Linked DNA regions of Arabidopsis thaliana. The protein of the gene in region 2 interacts with the protein of the main gene of each other region in a pairwise test. Each region holds a gene or a part of one and is shown on either strand. Other genes may lie near its edges.

The links. Proteins that work in one complex are often made in the same cells at the same time.
Region 1: the proteins of WRKY33 (region 2) and AT2G44340 interact in a two-hybrid assay, tested with the Arabidopsis thaliana proteins (one study listed by BioGRID).
Region 3: the proteins of WRKY33 (region 2) and AT5G53830 interact in a two-hybrid assay, tested with the Arabidopsis thaliana proteins (one study listed by BioGRID).

Annotation. Positions count from the first base shown.
Region 1 is NC_003071.7:18,310,185-18,317,505, forward strand, and holds AT2G44340 (VQ motif-containing protein), read left to right. Parts: upstream 1-4,003; 5' UTR 4,004-4,094; coding exon 4,095-4,661; 3' UTR 4,662-5,138; downstream 5,139-7,321. Other genes in the region: AT2G44330 (RING/U-box superfamily protein), read left to right, coding at 437-979; ATCS (Citrate synthase family protein), read left to right, coding at 6,489-6,539, 6,638-6,703, 6,850-6,891, 7,073-7,138, 7,231-7,296. UniProt on the Arabidopsis thaliana protein: May function as positive regulator of plant growth.
Region 2 is NC_003071.7:16,104,246-16,112,737, forward strand, and holds WRKY33 (WRKY DNA-binding protein 33), read left to right. Parts: upstream 1-3,989; 5' UTR 3,990-4,230; coding exon 4,231-4,473; exon of another isoform or gene 4,474-4,722; coding exon 4,723-4,929; intron 4,930-4,998; coding exon 4,999-5,531; intron 5,532-5,621; coding exon 5,622-5,783; intron 5,784-5,879; coding exon 5,880-6,294; 3' UTR 6,295-6,521; downstream 6,522-8,492. Other genes in the region: IREG1 (iron regulated 1), read left to right, coding at 1-14, 118-600, 703-874, 1,049-1,186, 1,284-1,394, 1,521-1,685; AT2G38465 (uncharacterized protein), read right to left, coding at 2,148-2,273, 2,437-2,565; AT2G38480 (Uncharacterized protein family (UPF0497)), read right to left, coding at 6,715-6,906, 6,988-7,111, 7,199-7,449.
Region 3 is NC_003076.8:21,852,904-21,860,285, reverse strand, and holds AT5G53830 (VQ motif-containing protein), read right to left. Parts: upstream 3,339-7,382; 5' UTR 3,230-3,338; coding exon 2,498-3,229; 3' UTR 2,184-2,497; downstream 1-2,183. Other genes in the region: AT5G53840 (F-box/RNI-like/FBD-like domains-containing protein), read left to right, coding at 1-507, 601-741, 839-1,138; AT5G53820 (Late embryogenesis abundant protein (LEA) family protein), read right to left, coding at 6,420-6,494, 6,587-6,655, 6,752-6,811. UniProt on the Arabidopsis thaliana protein: May modulate WRKY transcription factor activities.

The sequences.
Region 1 (7,321 bases), 2.2 Mb from region 2:
TTTTTATTTAAGAAATGTAAAACTGAGAATTCTAATAGAAATAAATTAGTGATTTTTTTAAGAAAAAAAATCTCTATTAACATTTTTTACCAAGATCAGTTTACCAATATTTAGATTTTTGTTTCTATTCATAATAAATTCATGTTTTTGGAATTTTAATCAAGTTTGACAGCTGCTTATTAGCAAATACTAGTATCAATATAAAGGGAAATCAGATACATTTTGGTAAAAATAAATAAAATCAATACAATTTGACCAATGCTATATGAACAAAATAACACTCATAATTTTTTTAATCTTTGAATAGAAAAGAATACCAAAACTTTGAAGATACGCAGCCATCTTTCCTATTACACACGTTCCCATTAGATTATAAGAATCTTAAGGGATCTCATTTGTTTCTTCTAAATTTCCTCAACCACCAACCACCTTCTCAATGTCGTCCTCCTCTACCCAAAACCAATTGGAGATGCGGGATTACACGTGTCCGGAATGTAACATAGGTCTTAGGGTTCTCTCATTGCCTTCCGCTTCTCCTCCATACTGTCCTCTATGCAATGTCGCTTCTTACTTCACTTCTTCGACCCCTTTTGAAGTAGGTCCTAATCCTTTCGAAGACGATGAGGAATCTCAGTTTCTCGATCCCATGGAATCTCTTCCGACCATTAAGATCTCATCTTCAATGTTGTCTTCCGCTTCCTCAGACGATTCTGCTTTACCATGTGCCATTTGCAGAGAAGATTTCGTGGTTGGAGAATCTGCTAGGAGATTGCCATGCAACCATTTATACCATAATGATTGCATTATTCCTTGGCTCACAAGTCATAACTCGTGCCCTCTCTGTCGAGTTGAGCTCCCGGTTGCATCTAGTGAAGACGATAGTGGTCTGGACATGTGGTTTGATGCTTTGAACCTAGAGGACGACTTGGAGGAAGAAGCGGGAGTCACGCTCGATTTGGAGCAAAGTTTAGACGGCTAAAATTCTAGCTATAGGGTCCATCGATGTACGTTTTATAACGTTTTCACATCTATATATATAGATCTACCTTGATACTAATATATGATTTCAAATCTATATGGACTTATCTTATCATCAATAAATCTACCTTGATACTTTCAATGCATGTGTCGTTTATTTAGTCGTGTCCATGTAGTCGAGGTATCGCAAGAAATGACGAAGGTCTGGTCGTGTTTCATGCTAGAGCTTCATTCACCCGACTAGAGTCTCTGGTGACGTACCGGTACACTACGATGTGTCTTATCGACTCTTGAAGGTCTACGCAACTTGCACATTAATCGAGTGAAAATAGTATCTGACAATGTTGCGGCGATGAAGGCAATCAATAATCCCAAATAATGGCCAAATATTGCATTCTCTTGTGCAAAGTTTATAGCATATTAGCTGGGCTCAATTCATGGGAGTGCCACCGAGTAGCGGTATATTCTAATAAAGTTACTAGAGCTATTGTGAGAAGCATTATGCGAGATGGGAGACTTCAATCATATTTGGCGCTTGGAGAGTTTTCTTGTATTCAAGATCAAGTGCTTTCTAATAAAGCGTAATTTTATTCTAGGTTTTCAAAATTGATCTTATCGTTTACGTTGTGTTTCAAACTTTTTGTTCTAACTCCGATACGTTTAATTAGGAAACAAAATCCGTCTTATTAGCTAAGATGACCTTTTAATTAGATTTGGGCCTGCTTTCGAACAATTAATAAAAAGACAATTGTGAAATATAGAGTAAACAACAACTAGTGTTATAGTGGAGGAAGGCAAAATTCTTAAAGGAATAAAAAAAAAAATTCTTCATACATCACATTGGACATGTATATTGAATGAAAAAAAAAAAGAATCACTGAACTCCAGTTGACGGTTTTTTTTTTTTTTTTTAATGAACTCCACTCTCTAAATATCTAAATTGATGGATGATATGATTTCTAATTTATGGCCTTTGCATATATATATTTGTTTTAAGCAGTTCGCATATGTAGAACAAGTCTCCCAGTCCGCGTAATGGCATTTAATAATGACTACATAGATTTTTTTCCCCCAAATTTATGTTATTCACCTGATTTAAAACAAACAAACATACAGCTATTTTTTTTTTTTGGTGGAACAAACATACAGCTATTTATGTAACCATACAGCTATTTATATCGAATCTCTGAGATTTATGTAACCAAATGCGCCAATTATATCAAATAGTATGGTTTACATTTATAGATTTAAATAAGTTTGACTTCTAAATGGATTGACGTTAATATAAACAGAATAATTATCAATACTGAAAGTCTGCAACTAATATGACCTCTCCCTATGATCATAGGCTATTGTTTGCAAGAATTAATTAATCAAGGTCAAAACCACCAAATAGTGGTTTCGTACAAGAATTCACCAAAAAGAGTGATATTGTATAAGTAAAACCAAAATTATCACACTTAGGCCAAAGCAACATCGAAAGGTGGACTACATAGGCGGTAGGCTTCAAGAATTCACCAAAAAGAGTGGTGTTGTATACTTGTATAAGTACATATATTATATTCTGCTTATTTCAAATTAAATGTAATTTTGTAGAAATGATCATTATTGCAAATATGTTGTAACGACTAGAAAATAAAACACAGTTCCGTGTGTAAGTTTTCTAAGACCTCTCGATAATACTCGAATTCTAATTCGACTCTCCAATTATCTAAATATGTTTTTTTGCAATATAAATAACGACAAATTACGTAATGTCAACGGAGGTTAAATCCACCCTGTCGCTCTTGTTTGCTTCTTTGGCAAAACAAAAGTCAACTATTATTTTATTTCTTTGCAACTTTCAAATTCTTTATTGTAGGTTTGTATGTCATTTTTGTATAAAATATTTCTTTCGTACAAAATAATTACTTAAATAAAAACCAACGAGTACACATTTTTTCTTTGTTTTTAAGCACACAAAGGCATATCTATCCGTGTCGACACCTCAAACATGTGTAGATGAATGATCTCATGCATATGTAAGTGTCTAAACATAGAGATGAAAATTGATGAGATAGACATTACAAACCTATTTAAGTGGGGATAGTTTAGAAGGTAACTTTTGGTTTTATTAAAACTAAATTCAAACAAAATTAGCTTATACGAAAATTAATGATCTGCGTCAAGTGGGATCTTCATGTTTATTACCTTGGTATAGTTATATATATATATATATAAATTATAAGAAATATGACTTAAAGAGCATCATCAAACCAAAGAAAGTGAAATAAAACTTATGATTTGAATTAGGTCGGTTTTCAAGTGACCGTTTCCTGAGTCAGATTTTGACCCCACAAATCGATATAAAATTGCATGCCATTTTAGTTTCCATCTACTAATATTGTTATAAGTTATGATAAAGTAAAATTCCACACACGACGTCATTAGCCAAAACAATATAACGGGACTATCAATCATTTGATCATGTAGAGACGCCCAAACCGTAGATTCATTATTACGGCTTAGACAAAAAATGAAACTAGTAAAAGAAGTGTTTTCAAATAGAATTAGCATCATATTTAATTATTTTTCTACAGAAACTATAGGGAAGCCAAAAACAGAACAGAACAGACATGCCGACAAATTAAAACTTTCACACACACAGACACATTTGCGACCAAATTAAAGACATATATATGGCTCACGCTATCTGTTTAGATATTCTAACTATATGATGTTTGTATAATATTATAGTTTAGATTTATCGTCAGTTGATTAATCACAAATCATAAACACATTATTTTATTCCGACTGTAAATTAAAAATTAAACTAAAATGTACTAGTGTAAAATAATAGTGATACACACATAAAACTTTATTTAAATCAAGTTGTTGTTGTGTGTCATGGAGGCAGGTCCATAGCTGTTTCGTTATACACCTTCTTTGTTATTTCAATATTCAAGTTTGTTGTTAATTTAATGTTATTGACTAACCAACAATCCAATATATTTATAATTATCTATATATAAATAACCCGCCGCAGTATTATTCCACGGCATACGAATTATTTTGGTTCAAATTACAGATATCTAAAAAAGGATCAAATCTTTTCTCAATCGTTTATAGTTTCTTCAATGGAGATTACTCAATATCAAAGTTTTCATGAAGGTTCGAGTTCTAGGGTTTCCATGAACAGGAATTCACAAGTAATATCCAAGATCAAACCCAAGATTCGCATAATCCATATATTTGCACCGGAGGTCATCAAGACCGACGTCAAGAACTTTCGTTCACTCGTCCAGAGTCTAACCGGGAAACCGGCACCGGGAGAAGCCAAAACCGGTAAAAAGAGAGCCAAATCAAGAATTACGACTCCCCAAGAACCGGTTTGCGATGATCATCAGCCGGTCAACAGGCTTTCGGGTTTCACCGGTTTACTAGCAAACGGAGGAAACCACCAGGTGAAAGAAGAGTGGGGATCAGGTGATCAGAGTACTTCGAACACAAACACGTACTTTGATCTAGAAGGTTTAATTCAAGATGTCGGAGAAGATTACTTCTCTTCGTTTCCCATGAGATCCTCTTCTTCTTCACAAGTCGAAGGTTTCATCTTCAACAACAACAACAACAACAACAACAACAACAACAACAACAACAACAACAACACCAACTTCGATACAAAGGCTCATAATTCGTCTTAATTAATAACAGATTAATTTCTAGGGTTTTCAATCTTATTGATTCTGCAAATCGCATTTGGTGAGATGAGATCTAATCGCAACGATAAGGTCATATTTTGTGGGAGAAAAAAGGCATAGAAGTTGTATATAGATATAACAAATGGGTATGATGAGAGACATAAACTTTTGGCGGGACTGACTTTGCCAAGGTTGAGAGTTGTGATGAAGAGAGTTTAATCTACGTGCAGCCCTTCTAGGAGAAGTGGCTGTATCTAATTAAGATGTGGTCGGTCAAAAAAGCCCTAGTTTTATTATGTAACTTCATTGATGTGCTATTATTGGATGTGTATTAATTCTTTGGTGTGCAGATAAATGTGATGATTGCTGTACTTTAATTTTGGGGAAAAAGTTTGTATGGAATTAGAACAAGGATCGACTTGTTTTCGATATAGATACTCTGATTGATTGTGTATATTGAATATCGATACTTACATAACGGTTATTCGGTTAAAGTACAGTTACACTAATTAAATTAAACTGTAAGTTAACAAGAATATTCTGGCTCAAGCTAAATTATTTTTTTTATTATTATTGTTTACTAATCTTTTGTTACAAATGTTGAAAATGATATTTATTATACATGTAGTACTTCAACTAAAATAAATAACGTGTTTTCATATTTGATGTACGTGTATAATATATCATTTTCAACAGTGAGTAATATTAACCCTTTTATCAAAATAAAGTAAAACAAAATGATATAACCTATCAACAAAATGCAAAGAAAATTGATCCGAACCGAATATAGCCGTAACGGTACACCAAAATTGTTTTGAGATTTTAGTGTCCGTTGACCTTTTCATATAAAGCCAAATTATTCGGTCTGGTTTCCAAAAGAACGAAAAGGTATATGATTACGGTTTACTCCCTTGCTTCTGTGTTTTGGTTTAGTTTGGTTTACCTTCTCAAAGTTCTCGAACGTCAACATTTATTTTATCTTATTTTGTAAGGTTCTGCACATGTTATACTTATTAATTAGTCTACTTTTTCAGGCATTGGGATTATTTGTTTTAGTCTAAATCGGTTTTGGTTGCATAATATTGGATGAAAACATTGTAAAGGACAATTTCAAACCTGACTTTTCTAGATTTGGAAACGTTCCGGCTGCTTGAAAAGCTCACATAAATATTAGTATGATTTCTTAAACCAAAAATAAATGATGATTATCAACAATACCGTAAATAAGGCAAAGGAAATAAATGATGATTATCAACAATTGCCGAAAATAACCACACCGGTACACCGAAATTGTTTTTGAGATTCATAAAACCGGAATAATACGCCTAAAGGTTATTTTCTCCAATACCGGTTTAGTTTGGTTTGCCTTCTCAAAGTACTCGAAGGTCAAAATTGGAATTTAGTAATAAACCTGCTCCAGCTATATACAAATGTCATTTGCTCACCTTTCGCCGATTGATTTTGTACATCACACGCAGACGCAGCTTTTAGTATTTTTTTCAACAATCGCTTTTTTTTTTCTCGATCTCCGTGAAGCTCTCGAATCTCTGGTATGTTTCTTCGCTTCTTCATAGTGTTTCTCATTTCCTTTTGGTCTTCCATAATTTTCGGAGAATCTAGTCCTGTTTTTCTCTTCTTCTGGAATCTGAATTCGCCGGTGAATTCCGCTGATCGAATCTCTGAGTTTTGTTGAATTATTTGATTCGGCGATAAAACTTTTTTTGTTTGTTTCTGATTTTGGTGAGTGTTGATTGCTTGAGTTTTTTCACGGATCGATTTGTTTTGAGAATTGGGTGGATACTGTCTGTCACAGGTTTTGAGTTTTGGAGAATGGTGTTTTTCCGCAGCGTATCGGCCTTTACTAGGCTGAGGTCTCGCGTCGTAAGTATTTGAAAATTTTGTTTCCAGTTTTGTGTTTGTTCTCGTTTGATCTCGCTGGTTCATGCTAATCGATTGATTGGTGATCGAATCTATGTAAGCAGGGCCAACAATCTTCACTCAGCAATTCTGTCAGATGGATTCAGATGCAGAGCTCTACCGACCTGGTAAATCATCTCCGTTGCTTCGTACTTTCGTGTGTGATCGTGATCATGTAGTTTTCATGATCATGATCATATGTAAGTTTAATATTGGTTTGGGATCTGCTGCTTGTGGGGTCTTTGTTCATTTTGTTTAAATGGTGGCAATGCAGGACCTGAAGTCGCAGCTGCAAGAGTTAATTCCGGAACAGCAGGTTAGATTAGACTCTGTTTGCTTTAAATGAAAATTTGTGTTGTTGACTTTTTTTTTTCATTGAATGTGTGTATTATTTGTTATGTTAGCTGAGATTGTTAAGTTAAGAAGGCAGGCTAGTTGTAGTGAATCTCTTTGCTTTTCTAGTTTCCTCTTTTCTCACAAGAATTTTCCAATTTCAGGACCGTCTGAAGAAACTGAAGTCAGAACATGGGAAGGTCCAACTGGGAAACATCACTGTTGATATGGTAGAAACAATCATGATTTTCACGTTTTTGGTTTGTTTATATGATTTTCACCTTCCATTGCATAACTCATCATAATCCCCTTTGAAATAAAGGTTATTGGTGGAATGAGAGGGATGACTGGATTGCTTTGGGAAACCTCATTGCTTGACCCGGAAGAGGTACTGTATAACTCTCTGTATATAG
Region 2 (8,492 bases):
ATCGAACGAGACTGGTAAATGTCTAGACTGTATATATTTGCAACACATGAATGCAATCTTATGTATAGTGTCATATTTGCAACATGTATTTCTTTTGGCTCTTTTGGCAACCAACAGGGCTGTGGTTATGTCTGAAGGTCATCCACCAGCAGTATTGACAAAAATGAATTCTGTCATTAGAGGCATTGATTTGAGCTCCAAGCTACTGTCTCCAGTCATTACTGGTCTGATCATCAGTTTTGTCTCACTTAAGGCTTCAGCGATCACTTTTGCAGCTTGGGCTACTATAACAGCTTGGGTTGAATATTGGCTCTTCATTTCTGTGTATAGCGGTGTTCCTGCAATAACACGAAGCAATGAGAGACGGATCTTGCGTTCCCGGACAAAGCAAGTAGAAGGAAGAGATGCACCTGTTTCTGTTTCTATTGTTCCGGGAACAGAGGAGGGTTATACTGGAAACCCTCCGTCTAGAACCGGAATCTTGGTGATACTGGATAGAATGTCCAAGTCCTCTTTTGTTGGCGCATGGAGAATTTATTTCAATCAAGAAGTTGTCCTCCCCGGGGTTTCTCTAGCTCTCTTGTTCTTCACCGTCCTCAGGTTCCTTTTCTCTTTATCTATATGTTTAAGAGTCCTCAGATGAACATGCATATCCTACCGATTATGTGGATCATTGTTGTTTTATTTACCACCTTGACACAGCTTTGGAACATTGATGACGGCTACATTGCAGTGGGAAGGTATACCTACATATATCATCGGTATAGGCAGGGGAATAAGTGCAACGGTTGGACTAGCGGCTACATTAGTGTATCCGCTAATGCAATCGCGTCTCTCAACTCTGAGAACCGGCCTCTGGTCCTTCTGGTCTCAGGTATATCAACTTGAAAACACACCTATGGTTTGATTCATCTGATTGGTTACAGGTTATAACAAGTCTTTTTCTCATTCTTCACTAGATATTAAGTGTATCATATATGTACTTGACCATGTTATGGAACTCGAGTAAAACAAAAGAGTCATAAAAGTAGGGTTGTTGTTCATACAGTGGAGCTGCCTTTTGGTCTGCGTTGGATCGATTTGGGTTAAAAAGGATAAAATAGCATCTTACATGCTAATGGCTGGAGTTGCTGCTTCAAGGCTTGGCTTGTGGATGTTTGATCTTGCCGTCATCCAACAAATGCAGGTATGTTTACATTTCTTTAGCTTATATAGTTACAGCACACGTATTCTTTAAAGACTTATAATAAGAACGTTTCGTAATGTTTTTGGTCATGTGTTAGGATCTTGTTTCAGAATCCGACCGTTGTGTGGTTGGAGGTGTTCAGAACTCACTGCAATCGGCTCTTGACTTGATGGCATATCTTTTAGGTATCATTGTCTCCAATCCAAAGGTAAATAAATTCCAGTTTATATTCTAAGGATCCATATATAGATAATGACTCTTTTTATCCATCAAATGCAAAATTTACGTTTTCATACAATCAAGGTCATAATATTTATGGACTTTTTTATTTCAGGATTTTTGGATATTGACGTTGATCTCATTCTCCACAGTATCGTTGGCAGGAATGCTCTATACAATTCACCTCTACCGCATAAGAAACCATATTTTTCATCTTGAGAAGATTCCTTTGTTGAACAAATGTATATTCAAGTTGCTCCCTTCTCGTGGAAACGTGTAATTCATAATGTTGTGGAATGTGCCACGATTTCTCCGACATGGATAACTAGAAATGGGGTGGTTTTATGACATGACCATAAAGCAGCCAAAAATGAATCAAATGGCTTAAATGATTGGTTAAATAGGTCAAAGATATAGTCAAAAGAAAACACCCACAAAATAGGTCAGTGACAATTTTGTGATGTGTTAAAGACAACTTTCAGTGACAATTTTGTGATGTGTTAAAGACAACTTTCCTCCGTTTTTTGTATGAATTCACTCTGTTTTGTATGAACTCACTTTTATGTAGTTCTATAATAACAATGAAAATTTTCCATTTTATCTTTTGGGAATAGAATTCTGTATTAAAAATCAATACTGAAATAACATTCATCATTAGTAGTAGAAACAGTTGAAAACTCCCAGATATTTGTGTTTGCTTAATAAAGTACACACTCCATTATTATATGTTAATAAAGAAACATTAAGAAGATTGATGAAGTCTCTTCTTGGCATTCTCTGCTTCATCGGTTGCGTCAACTTGCATTTTTGTCTCCGTTAGATGAGCCTCCGTAGCTTCCTTCTCGTTCTTTGCCGTCAATCTCTTTGTCTTCCAAACCAAAATAAAAATAAAAGATTATAACAAAATGAAACTAATCAATAAGGAAATTAACGAGACACCAAATACGTCAAGTGATCATTGATTCAAGAAGACCCATGAGTCTCTGATCCGCTTGTTTCAGTGGCTCGAAACAAGACTCTTGTATACGCACCTGGCCAACAAAAAAGGCTTTGACATAGCTAAACCCTTCCTGGCATGTTACTGCCATGGATAAACAGTTAGTCTTCACTCGATCGGACAAAGACTTCGCCGGCTGTCGTGATGTCTCGGCGTCTTGCATCGCTGCTTTTTCGAGATAGATAGATTGCTTGAAACTTGAAAGCAAGACTAGGAAATATCTCACTTTCTTGTGCCAATGATGATTTTTTTTAACTATTAATGATTCTGGAAGCAACTCTTGCCACGTCTGTTTTACGTGTTAGCTGTAGAGATACCGACGTGTATTAAAGCAAGAGGCTATTTTACTTTGGGCCTTTTGGGCTTTTGGGCTGAAGAAAGAAACTGTCATCGGATCAACAAACACTGCATAGTTTGCAACTTGCACGGTAAAGCGACACAAAATCCATGACGTTTAATTTAGGTTCCACGTGAAGAACCATACCACATATCGTGCAATAAGAAACTGATCACTTTTATATACCTAAACGATTTACAATTTACACTACTATGCTTGACACGATATGTAATTTTTTTTTTTTTGCCAAAGGGTGTTGTTATTGATATTAAACATTGTACAATACAACGTACATAGACTGTTTATATAAAACAAGGACGTCTAGATAAAAAAAGCAAATAACAAATATTACAAGACTAGTTAAGGAAACAACAAACTGAGTAAGGTTTTATGTACAAAACAGAGACGACTACCAAAGAAGAGGGCCAGACGTGGTAGCAGTGATGGAAGACAAACATCCTGACATCTCAATAAGAACATTTATGGCTACTTCAAATACATATATACACAATATGTAATTCTCTTATTACATTTATGGCTACTTCAAATACATATATACAAAAAAAAAAGGCCTACCTTCGACAGAAGTTATACCAATTTATTGATCGGAAGCTACAAAATGTTATCTAGGGTCAATTTGTAGCCTATCTCTATATCAAAACCGATACGGATACAAAATAGTTTGATAATCATAGAATTTAACATTCTAATAAATATTTGTTTCTAGTATTCTTTAAATGAATAATCTTGTGTTCAATTAGTCTATTCATAGTAGAATTAAGTCTCCTAAAAAATAGATTGAAACCAAAAACAGCCGCACATGGATTTAATATCGACTTTAGTTAGGAGGTTTTGCTAAAAATAGTAAAATACTCACAAACTCACTTCTAAATACTAATCTTTTACACTCATGTCATGTGCTTTAAAGATATGAGAGAACCTTTCCTAGTACACCTACAGTCAAAATTTTCAAGATTCCGAAATTTTCTAGGTTTTTTGAGCAAGAGCCAAGAATCCCAAATGTTTGAATTTGTATTTTTGATCCAAAAATACTACAACATCGTATAAAGAATAAATCATACGTGTCAGAACGAGACATATGAAGATGATGAAAGCATTGAGCCGCCCCTCAAAAAATCCGTTCAACGTTTGAGAGTCAAGGCCACAAGGTCTGACCAATCTATCTCTTCTCCTTCTTCTTCTAATCATATTTTCAACGGTCAAACTTTTTATCACCTTCTCAGAAACTACTCTTCTTCATATGTGACCCTAAAAATAAAAACGAACAATTAAACAAAATTTTAAAATAATATAATATTCACCAATCAGACGTGCAATATGTTTTATATATTCAGACATAACCAACAAATATACAGAAACAAGAAGAAGAACAAGAACCATCACTTCTCTCATTTTCTTCTTCTCCAAGCCCCCCTCCTTTCTATATATATCTGAAATTGGTCTTTTATAAAACAAACTTCCATTTTTCGTATGGCTGCTTCTTTTCTTACAATGGACAATAGCAGAACCAGACAAAACATGAATGGTTCTGCTAATTGGTCACAACAATCCGGAAGAACATCTACTTCCTCTTTGGAAGATCTTGAGATACCAAAGTTCAGATCTTTTGCTCCTTCTTCAATCTCTATCTCTCCTTCTCTTGTCTCTCCTTCCACTTGTTTCAGTCCCTCTCTTTTTCTCGATTCCCCTGCTTTTGTCTCCTCCTCTGCTAACGTAAGCCTCTCTGTTTTTTTTCTCTGTTTCTTTTGAAATGAATCCAATTAGTGATGATAATCTGTGTTTGATGTATCATTGATTTAACATCTTGACAATGAATCGTGATCGGAAGTGATAAAGTTATGGGTCAACGGTTTCAAAGAGAGAGAAAGACTTTTAGAGTCAACTCTCGACTCTTTCTTAATTATGTTATTGCTATTTGTCTCTTTTCTTGAAGTCTGAACAATTCTTGGGATTGTTTTGCAGGTTCTAGCTTCTCCAACCACAGGAGCTTTAATCACAAACGTAACTAACCAGAAAGGTATAAATGAAGGAGACAAGAGCAACAACAACAACTTTAACTTATTCGATTTCTCATTCCACACACAATCATCAGGAGTTTCTGCTCCGACCACAACTACAACTACAACTACAACTACAACAACAACAAACAGTTCTATCTTTCAATCTCAGGTATGTACTTCATCAACAGCTCAAATCCTCTGTTTATGAGTTTTTCTATAACTTTGTTTTGAGTTTCAGGAACAACAGAAGAAGAACCAGTCAGAACAATGGAGCCAAACCGAGACTCGTCCAAACAATCAAGCTGTATCTTACAATGGAAGAGAGCAAAGGAAAGGAGAGGATGGTTACAATTGGAGAAAGTACGGACAAAAACAGGTGAAAGGAAGTGAGAATCCTCGGAGTTACTATAAGTGTACTTTCCCTAATTGTCCAACGAAGAAGAAAGTGGAGAGATCTTTGGAAGGTCAGATCACAGAGATTGTGTATAAAGGAAGCCACAACCATCCTAAACCTCAGTCTACTAGAAGATCTTCTTCGTCTTCTTCGACTTTTCATTCAGCTGTGTACAATGCCAGTTTGGATCATAATCGTCAAGCTTCTTCTGATCAGCCTAATTCCAATAATAGCTTTCATCAGTCTGATTCCTTTGGGATGCAACAAGAGGATAATACTACTTCTGATTCTGTTGGTGACGATGAGTTCGAACAAGGCTCATCGATTGTCAGCAGAGACGAAGAAGATTGTGGGAGTGAACCTGAAGCAAAGAGATGGTACAGATCATCATCACCCTCCAAATTTGCTACTCTTTGAACAATCTTGAATATGAAAGTTCTAAAATGTATGTTTTTTTGTGTTTTCAGGAAAGGGGACAATGAAACAAATGGTGGGAATGGTGGTGGAAGCAAGACAGTGAGAGAGCCGAGAATCGTAGTGCAGACAACGAGTGATATTGACATTCTTGACGACGGTTACAGATGGAGAAAATACGGCCAGAAAGTCGTTAAGGGAAACCCAAATCCAAGGTAATAACATAAACAATTGTGCATCTCAATAACTCAGAATTAAGGTTCTTGAGAATCTGACCTTTTGTTTTCTTTTCATTTGCTGAATCTTAACAGAAGCTACTACAAGTGCACAACCATCGGTTGTCCAGTGAGGAAACATGTGGAGAGAGCATCACACGACATGAGAGCAGTAATCACAACCTACGAAGGGAAACACAACCACGATGTTCCTGCAGCTCGTGGTAGCGGTTACGCCACAAACAGAGCACCACAGGATTCGTCTTCAGTCCCGATTAGACCAGCTGCTATTGCTGGTCACTCCAACTACACTACTTCTTCTCAAGCACCATATACACTTCAGATGCTGCACAACAACAACACTAATACCGGGCCTTTTGGTTACGCCATGAACAACAATAACAACAACAGCAACCTTCAAACGCAACAAAACTTTGTTGGTGGTGGATTCTCTAGAGCAAAGGAAGAACCAAACGAGGAGACCTCATTTTTCGATTCGTTTATGCCCTGAAGAAAAAAGGAACCAGTTGTTCCTTTTTTATGTTCCTTTTGTACATTTCTGCCACCAAAGGATTTTACTACTTACTAGTTATCCTGCAGGATAGTAAGTCAGACTTCTATAGTCCATAGAGAAATTTTTTCATTTGTTTTTTCACACGCCTGTAATATGTTTAATGTTTGTACTTTGTACCATAGAACTAGAACACGGAATAAAACCAATCAATTTTCAGTTTCTTCACTTTGAATAATGAATCAAAGAAGCACACACACACACACACAGTGACACAGGGAGACACAGTGACAGTCTGACAGACCCAAATAACAGAAGTTGATATCAGCTATAAGAACACATAAAAGAATTGACATTTACATGTATAACAAAGATCACAATGGTATATAACTACTGAAGCACATTATTGCAAAGAGATCTTCAGATAAAAGAATGAGTGGAGAGTTTGTAACCGGAGAAGAGAGCAGAGAGAGCTAAAGCAATGAATGCGAAGATAGCCATACTTATAGCAGAAGCAGCAGAATCAGTGAAAATGTTATCTTGACCTTCTCTGAATATGTTTGTCAATGGAATTGCAGATGATGCAGCTGATATAAGCAAATACGCCACAATCTGCAAATTTCACTTTTTTGCATAAAAATCATAACTTTACATATATAAATCTGAGAATTGATAATCAGTTTGTGGCATTACCTGGTCGCCGGAGAAATCGACCAAAATAGAAGTCCGGCGATCGAAAATTTCCCTTTTTGAGAAATGTGCAAATGTTTGCCACGCAGTGTATAATGTTGAAATAATCGAAATCGCCAATACATATCTGAAGCAATATAAGAAATTTCAAAACTTTGATCGATATTACGCAAACCCAATTTCAAATTCCAGTATCAAAAAACGGAAATCGAACCTGTACTCTTCGTAGTCATTGAAGTTTCTACCGTAACCATGTTTATTAGAGACCATAATTAAGAAAGCAATAAGAGAGAACAAAAGACAGATTCCTCTCGTAATCGGAGATGCTTTCTTTATCAAATCCTCTCTTTTCCATCTCTGAGTAATCGTCGACGTTCCAGATGCCGGCGTCGGCTCCGACGTCTTCTCCGCCGCAGATTCCACGTCAGTAGCTTCAACCGGTTTCATGTTATCGGGATTCGTCATATTACAGATCTCAAAACTTTGGTCGGAATTGGTTCTGTTTTTAATGCGAAGATTCGGGACGAGGAATAACAAACTTGGAAGAAAAGAAAAACTGATTAGTTTTGGAAAACGTAATTAAGGTTTCGAGTTTTATATGTTAAATTGAAGAAAACGCGTGGTGGCGGGAGTGATTTATGGTAATTGGTAAGCATTAAGCAATGTGATTAAGACTAACAGTTCTGTGTCATGTGTGTTAGTTAATCGTGGCTTGCATTTAGACAGCGAAGCATGCTCATTGGTCAGGATCATTGTGTTTCATTGGTATTATTTTTAAGAGATTTTTCTATATCTATTTATCTATTCTATGGTGATAATGTTTTCTAATCTATATGGTAATATATGGTTTTAGGATTTGGGATGTTTAATCAATTCCATAACTTTTGTGCTAAGAATGGAATTGTTCTTCACAATCTTTTTATGGAAAGCTTTATATCAAAGTCTGATTGGAGAATTTATGGACAGTTGATTTGTTTTTTTTTTCTCATTGGAAGATTGTGTTTTCTGTATAAAGGAATGTTAATTAACTTTATTACATAACAAGAGTTGGAAACAAACATTATAAAAACTGAAATTTGTTATTTCTTTTTAGCAAAAAAAAAACAAAAAAAAACAAGTTCATTGGAAATTACTTGGAAATAGATTGTTGTCATTTGTCAATATGAAGAGCATAAGTAAGAACTTCCATAAGTCTAGATCAATGATGTGTGCATTAGAAGTACCAAATCATTCGAGGCAGTTTAAGTTCCCATTCTAATTGGACCAATGACGAAGACCAAGGCAAAGAAAATCTTAAAGATGCTTTCAATGATAAGGGGATGATTCAAGACTTGTTGAGTCCACTAGAGAAGTTACCTACGGAGTTCAAATCCAATCCATTTTGAGTCTATTGTCCGACCAATAACTGTAAAAACAGTTATTTCTGTTTTGTTCTTAGCTCAACAAATATAACAACAATTTTGATCTTAATGGAGGAAGAAGGTTTTAATGTGAGAGACTTGTAATGG
Region 3 (7,382 bases), on a different chromosome or scaffold from region 2:
TTCGGTGTCATACCACTAAGCTTGTATACTTGTGATACACTCGTACACTTAAAACTCTCTCGAGTCACCATGGTTAACGTCGAGTTTGTTTCCTTGCCTTGCCTGAAGATTCTGGACTTAGATTTTGTTAATTTTACCAATGAGACCACGTTGGATAAAATTATCTCATGCTCCCCAGTTCTAGAAGAGTTAACCATTGTCAAATCTTCTGAAGATAATGTAAAGATTATACAAGTACGCTCTCAGACACTAAAGAGAGTCGAAATACATCGGCGGTTTGATCGACATAATGGACTTGTTATCGATACTCCTCTACTCCAGTTTTTGAGTATTAAAGCTCACTCAATAAAGAGCATTGAATTCATCAATCTAGGTTTCACTACCAAGGTAGATATTGACGTCAACTTGCTTGATCCAAACGACTTATCCAATAGAAGCATGACGCGTGATTTCTTCACCACTATTTCAAGGGTCAGGTCTCTAGTCATTAGACATGGTACTATCAAGGTATACATGTGACAAATATATGTGAGTATCAAAATCTTTTTTCTATAAAATATATATTATCTCTTAACATTCTTTATTTTTACTTTTTACCAGGACATCTTTCATTACATGGAATTAGAACCTTTGCAACAATTTTGTTACCTGTCCGAATTGAGTGCTGTTTGTTCTATTTCTAATCTGGAAATGCTGCTAAATCTTCTTAAGAGCTGCCCGAAACTAGAATCTCTCAGCTTGGTGATGAATTGCTTGACCCTCTCTAATAGTAAAGCAATTTTTAGTGAAGCTTCTCTATTACTAACTTGTTTTCTTGTATTTTTTTTCGTTTTCTTAGAAATTGGTTGACTATGAAAAGAATAAAAAAGAAGAGGTGATGTCTTCGACAGTACCACCACCGTGTTTGGTATCGTCGCTCAAGTTTGTTAAATTGGAAAGTCAGCTCTTGGGATGTGGAACAGAACTGAAAGTAGCTAGGTACTTCTTGGAGAATTCAACAATTCTGGAGAAATTGACTCTAAAGATTGATTATATGTATAAGGATGAGGCAAATGTAAACCACATTCGCCAGACACTCCATGCAGTACCAAGATGCTCTAGTACTTGTGAAGTTGTTATACATTCTCTACTTTACTAAGAATATTATTGTTGAAGAAACCAACATGTGAAGTTATTATTTATGGTCATTAGCCTTTAACTATATGCATAGTCTTGCTTATGTTTCTTGATACATTCATTAATTGACTATTTTTTTTTATATAAATTATTTATATCTATTGATTTGAATAATCTTGAGAAAAAATAAGCCAAAGAAAAAGTATTGGCAACATTGGTTCCAAGTTAAATGTATATAAGTTATATATACAAAATGATAAACATCAACTTGGTCTTCAGTGTATATATAAAAAACATTATAAGTTCGGCCGCATATATGAAAATTATTTTATGCAAGTTTCGGAAATTTCAGAAAATGTGAATAGGAAAGTTGTGGGCAAATTGAAGTGGAAGTTGCTTGTAATGTGAAGCAAAGATGATTCGACTTTTGCTTGGTTTTCAACTCTCATCATAACGGACTACTTATTTCGTCTTTTACTTTTACACTCTTTCTCTCCACTTTTCTCTTTTTTTTAAAAATTTTCATTCAAAGATTATTTTTTTGTCCTTTCAAGTCAAAAAGACAAAGCAACAGAAGAACAGTATTAACGTATATCTATTTCTTTAAGAAAAGAAAAATAGAATGAAGAAGAGAAAGTCAAAGAAATTTTAGTAAAAGACCAAACGTGCCTCCATGATGACTCCATCAAATTCTAAGTCATCATATACCGAAATGGTCCAATACTACGTGTCGAACCTGGTCAGAAATTTCTTTCACGAGTCTTTCTATTTCAAATTGTCTCTTTGAATTTTCTTTTTTTCTTTTGATAAATGTCTTTATGAAACTTTCTAGTATTATTAAGAAATATTAAATATTTTTACAAGTCCAACTTCCAATAGATACTTATTGACAATGACCATTGCATTCAATCCACTCATGTTTTCCAATCCAATAGAGACTTTCATAGATTATATTTTTAAAGTAAGAACTCTATGTATTTCTTTGTTTCATCAAAATAGGTTTTTACTTTTTTGGAAATTTAAGTCTATATCATAAATTCGAGCATAGACATAAATCGATTCTCTACATTGATCTCGATATTGAGTGGCACACGTTGAAGTAACAATCGTAAGAGCAAAACTATAAACGAACTTTTGGAAAAACAAAAAGGACAATGAGTATTATAAATATGAGTATCATCATGAATATATATACTTATGCCTCCCAATTACATATATTGCAATTAATTTTTGAGATTGAAAGTGAAAAAAACCGCACAAAATTTACAGTCACTCCATAACTATGATCAAACTTATAGATATCTTAGTTATAGCTAAACAAAATCCGGAGATAGATATAATTTAATATCATGTATAAAATCACTCATGGATATCGTCGGGATTAAGAGTTCCTCGCCGGAGAAGCAACCGGAAAAAGAGGAAGAAGCAGTGGCTGAGAGTCTCTAGGAGTTGAGACTGGAGATGGATGAAGATAAAAGCCCTTATCAGCAATGGCTTTGTCTTCTTCCGATGAGTTCCCTAATGACAAAGGTGATGACTTGTTGAAGGGGTCATCGTTGCTTCTCAGTGGCGTCACGGGACTGTTTAGCCCTAGCTTCGGAAAATCCAGCATGCTTGGAGACAGAAGAATATTTTCTGATGATGAACTGTTTCTTGGAGAGAATCTCGGGCTTTGATGATGACTGCTGTTTCCTCCTGTGAACATCAATCTCTGAGAGTTTTGAAGCCTTAACGTATTGATCATTAGGTCATTCTTAGCGAACATGTTGTTGTTGTTTTGTCTTCTCTCGTAAAGCTTGAAGCTGTTGGTTTTCTTGATGGGTGGAATCGAGAAACTTGATCCCTTGTTGTTGTTGTTCACCGGAGAAGGAGCTTCGTGGTGTTTTCCGGTGGTGGTATCGGTGGATGAGCCGGTAAGCATCTGAACGACTTGTTTGAAAGTAGAAGTGTCTGCTTGAACAAATGTTGTTGGATAAGGATTTGAGAGATGTTGATGCTGGTCATGATGATGAGGAGATATTATCTGAGGCTGAAACCTAGGAGATGAGATCATAGGAGGTGGGTTTTGCATTTGTTCTGGTTTTGAAGACATGGATGATGTTGAAACTTCCATTAATGAGAGATGTCTTCGTGTTGTGTTGATGTGTATAAGAGGGAAAGAGAGAGAGAGAATGATTGAAGAGAAGAAGAAGAGTGGAAGTTGCTGATGTGAATAATGTGTAATGTTGTTTAGTTTTGTCGTGCGACGACAATTAAAAAGACTTTAAAAAGTGAGGTGTCATGGACCCATCTCTCATTCTCTTTCTTTCTCTTAAAAAACTTTGGAAATTAAAAACATAATTTTGTTAGATTCGTGTTCCGTAGACTATGTACATTATACTATACATCTACGTCTAACATCATCATCATTTCTCTTATACGAATCAACAAGTGTTTGAATAGCTGCCAAGATTTTTTTCTTCTTCTGGATAATTGGGTTAAGGGGCTTATTTATTCCATACGACATTTTATATCAGAAGACAATACCGTGTAAGAAAAAAAAAATTGGCTTGAAATAATGATTTTTCGTCACAAGAATGTCTAAGCCAAAATTTACAATGTTTACCATCAACAACGTATAAAATATACAAATGACTCTTAAATGATGGATTATAGTATTTATACATATCGATGTCCATCATTATTTTTTTCTAATCAACCTACATAACTAAGACCATTACGGTGAACTAATTAAACTTTGATATCAAGAGTTTGATATTGATACATATAAAAGTTTACTCTTGATACTTATCGAACTAATTAAACTTTTTTTGATACTCTTGCTATTGAAGTAGAAAATTACATACATACCTATTTTTGGATATCCATTAAGAATCGTATATTAAAGAACATCAAATCAGGTTTCTAATTAAAACTATAGTGATATACACTGTTTATCTGGAATTTGATGACGCCCATATCCATGAACCATGATATTAGAATAATTTCTATAGGTCGAAGAACAATTATTGAGAATTTTCCTGTAGAATCTATACTCATAGACTCAATGTTAACAATGCTGATGTTCTTAAATTTTTGGCATGCTCTTTTGTTCCTTTTTATCAAATTCGTCTGTTCTCCTCACATGTTTAATTGTTTAATCTAAAGCAATTTGTAATTACCGTTTATGTTGACACACGTTATAAAATTATTACGCTCTACAATAAAAAAAATAAATTGATTTTTGTTTGTCTACAATAACGGATAAGATTTAAATGTCTATGATTTATGTCCCCACATGAGATTTTGATATATTTTCTGTCTTGCAAATATTCATGGTAGCAAATGATAACTCAAATACATGAACTTGTAATATTTGGACCTATTTCATATAAAATATTAAAAATATTCATTAGGAACTTAACATTGTATCTAGAAAGAAAAAGCAAAAACTACCTTCCAATTACCAATTTATGTACGATCAATTTCAGAGTATAAAATAATGGAAACTGTAATTTTCTAATTTCTATATATATAAACACATTTATACTAGTAATGGAAACTGAAATGAAGTCATTTTCACTAAGAAATTTAAATATATGTTTTTTTAGGGATGAGAAGAAATGACTATTAATCTCTCTTTATATAAAATTGATATTATCTACAACAACCCACACTTCTGCCACAACTAAATACCAATTATGGTGACATTGGTGAGAATGTAGCAACGGTTGTGGTGGTGATGGTGGTGGTGACATAACACTGGTGGTGGTGACATAACACTGGTGTAATTTTTTTTTTGTCTTTAACTCAAAACATATTCACTATTCTTTGAATTTAGAATATGATACGGTTGCGACACTAATACAAATATGTAAGTTACATAATCCCATTTTCTAGTAGTACATTATGTTGCATTAAGATTTCAAGTTTTTGTATTATGTCCAAGGTTAGTTTGTAGTATCTATCATATTAAGGGGTATTTTGCATTTTCTTGTATCTATCCTTCTTGAATTATTTTGTACTTCTAAAGATTTCAACTTATAGGCACCCACTTGTTTTCTTACCTAAAAAGGAATATTAATATCAATATCGGTTAGTTATAGCGTGTATGAATAAGCATAAAGAAATTTTTGACAAGACGTTGTACTCAATGATTTATATTTCAATTTGTATGAGAGTAATATGTATAGCATAAAGGTCAAATTTTGAAAAGATGTTGTACTAAAAGTTTTTATTAATATCAAGCTACCAATAGAAAATGCAGTACAAATATTCTCTAACATAATTAAAAATAAAAATATTGAACTTATATATCTTAGTGCGAATAGGTTCTCCTTTATTGAGAGTTTACTACTAACAACAACATTTACACAAATCAGTGTGAGCACATGAGGAAACAAGATTAAAATGGAGATAGTATCCAATTCTGTTTTTTTTGTTCTTTAAATTATTTTAGTATTAATGGAAAAACAACAAAAACTAAGAAGCCAAAAAAAGAAAAAAAGAATACGATAAAGGTAAAAATTGTGGGGACTCGAATTCCAATTGGTGTAAAAATGTCGTCCCTCCATGAGGGATCAAATTCTTTCAAACTTCAAATCATTAGTGTCTTCTAGAACCCAAGTGGTTAAAGATTCCCTCTTATTGCATAAACATGCAAAGCGAGCATATTATATGTCGATCTTATTATATAAAAAAAACTTAATGGCAACTAATTCTTCACGAAATAAAACTACTTATAAGACCTATTATCGGTAAATAGTAATATACATATCACAATGATCAAAAGTGCATGCACCAGATGATATTCGTATCGTACTCGACATTTACATGCATATATATATACACACATACATGAGTATGAAAAACGGAATAATAAAACAAAACAATCAGTTGCTTCACAACAATGTGTGTTCTTTTTTTCCTCTGAAATGATAGGTTCCACCATTTTCACTATTTAACATGTCACTAATCGAAACTATAATCCAACTTGTCTAGTCATGGTAACAAAGAGAATAAATTTAGCCGCAATCATTGCTTATATAAAATAAAAAATTTAAGCTATAGTTTCATGTAATCATGTCATTTATTTAAATATTATAGAAATAACTGCATGGCTACAAATTATCAATAGACAAGAGTCAAAAACTCTTAGATATATAGATATATAGAAAAAAAACATAGAAAAGCAAAAGTAATTGCCTAAATGGCTTCGATCGAAATCCATATTCTTGGATTTAGATAGACATATCTATCTAATTATTTTTCTGGTAGAATAAAAACGAAAACTGAAAACATAAATTATTATTAGAACGTGCTTCTCATTTGCTGATGCCGGTCTTTTCCTTAATGGTCTCACTCGCACCTTGTGCCTTCTGCTTCAGCTGCTGTCCACCCTATATTTTGTTTTTCCAAATTATTAAATTTTCTGAATTCTCAAATTATTTCACAAAAATATACTATTAAAGAATAAGAAAAGAAAATAAACCTCTTGGATAGATTCCTTAGCAGATTGGGCAGCATTGGAGGCCTTGTCTATCAAGTTGCTTGCCTTCTCCTATAACAAATTTTAGTTACCTTCTAATGAATACTCCATTAACTCAAAAATAACAATGGATATTAAAGTTTCTAAAAAACGATCGTTTAACAAAACCTGAGTTTGGCCTTTAGCTTGGCCAGCGTTGAAGCTCATGCTCTGACTGTTGTTAGACATTTTCTAATCTTCTCTTCGGAAAAAAGTTACTTTGATTTTAGAGAACTGTTTAGCTTTTGTAATTATGAGTTGTGTGATGAAAGAGCATTATGGGTAGATGTTTATATACTTGTGGGGAACCTTGTAGTTACGTACACGTGGAATTTTGTGATTGGGTGTCAGTTTAGTATTTGAAACGTGACGTTGTTAGATTAGTACTCTCCGGTTGAATAGGGAGGTTTTGACCACGAGACAAGCAAATTCCGTTGTAGACTAGTTCCAAATGTGCTAATATTAGCATCTTCACTTCTTGTAATTCTTTTTGCTTTTAGGAAAATGATTTTCTTTGAATCGACATCTACTATATTATGTAAGAATACTTAGTTTTGATGTTTTCTAACGATTAGGGTGCGGTCGATTTTGTTCACCTAGTCTCTACAATTGATGTTTTGCTAATATGTTTACCTAAATATAACTTTAATGAAACTGGCTAATTGAACGAACATGTTCTTGCATGGCCACCATAACAAATAAAAAAAACAGTAGACATAGTGTGTTGAAGAGAAAAGAAAGACCTAATGTTGGATGTATA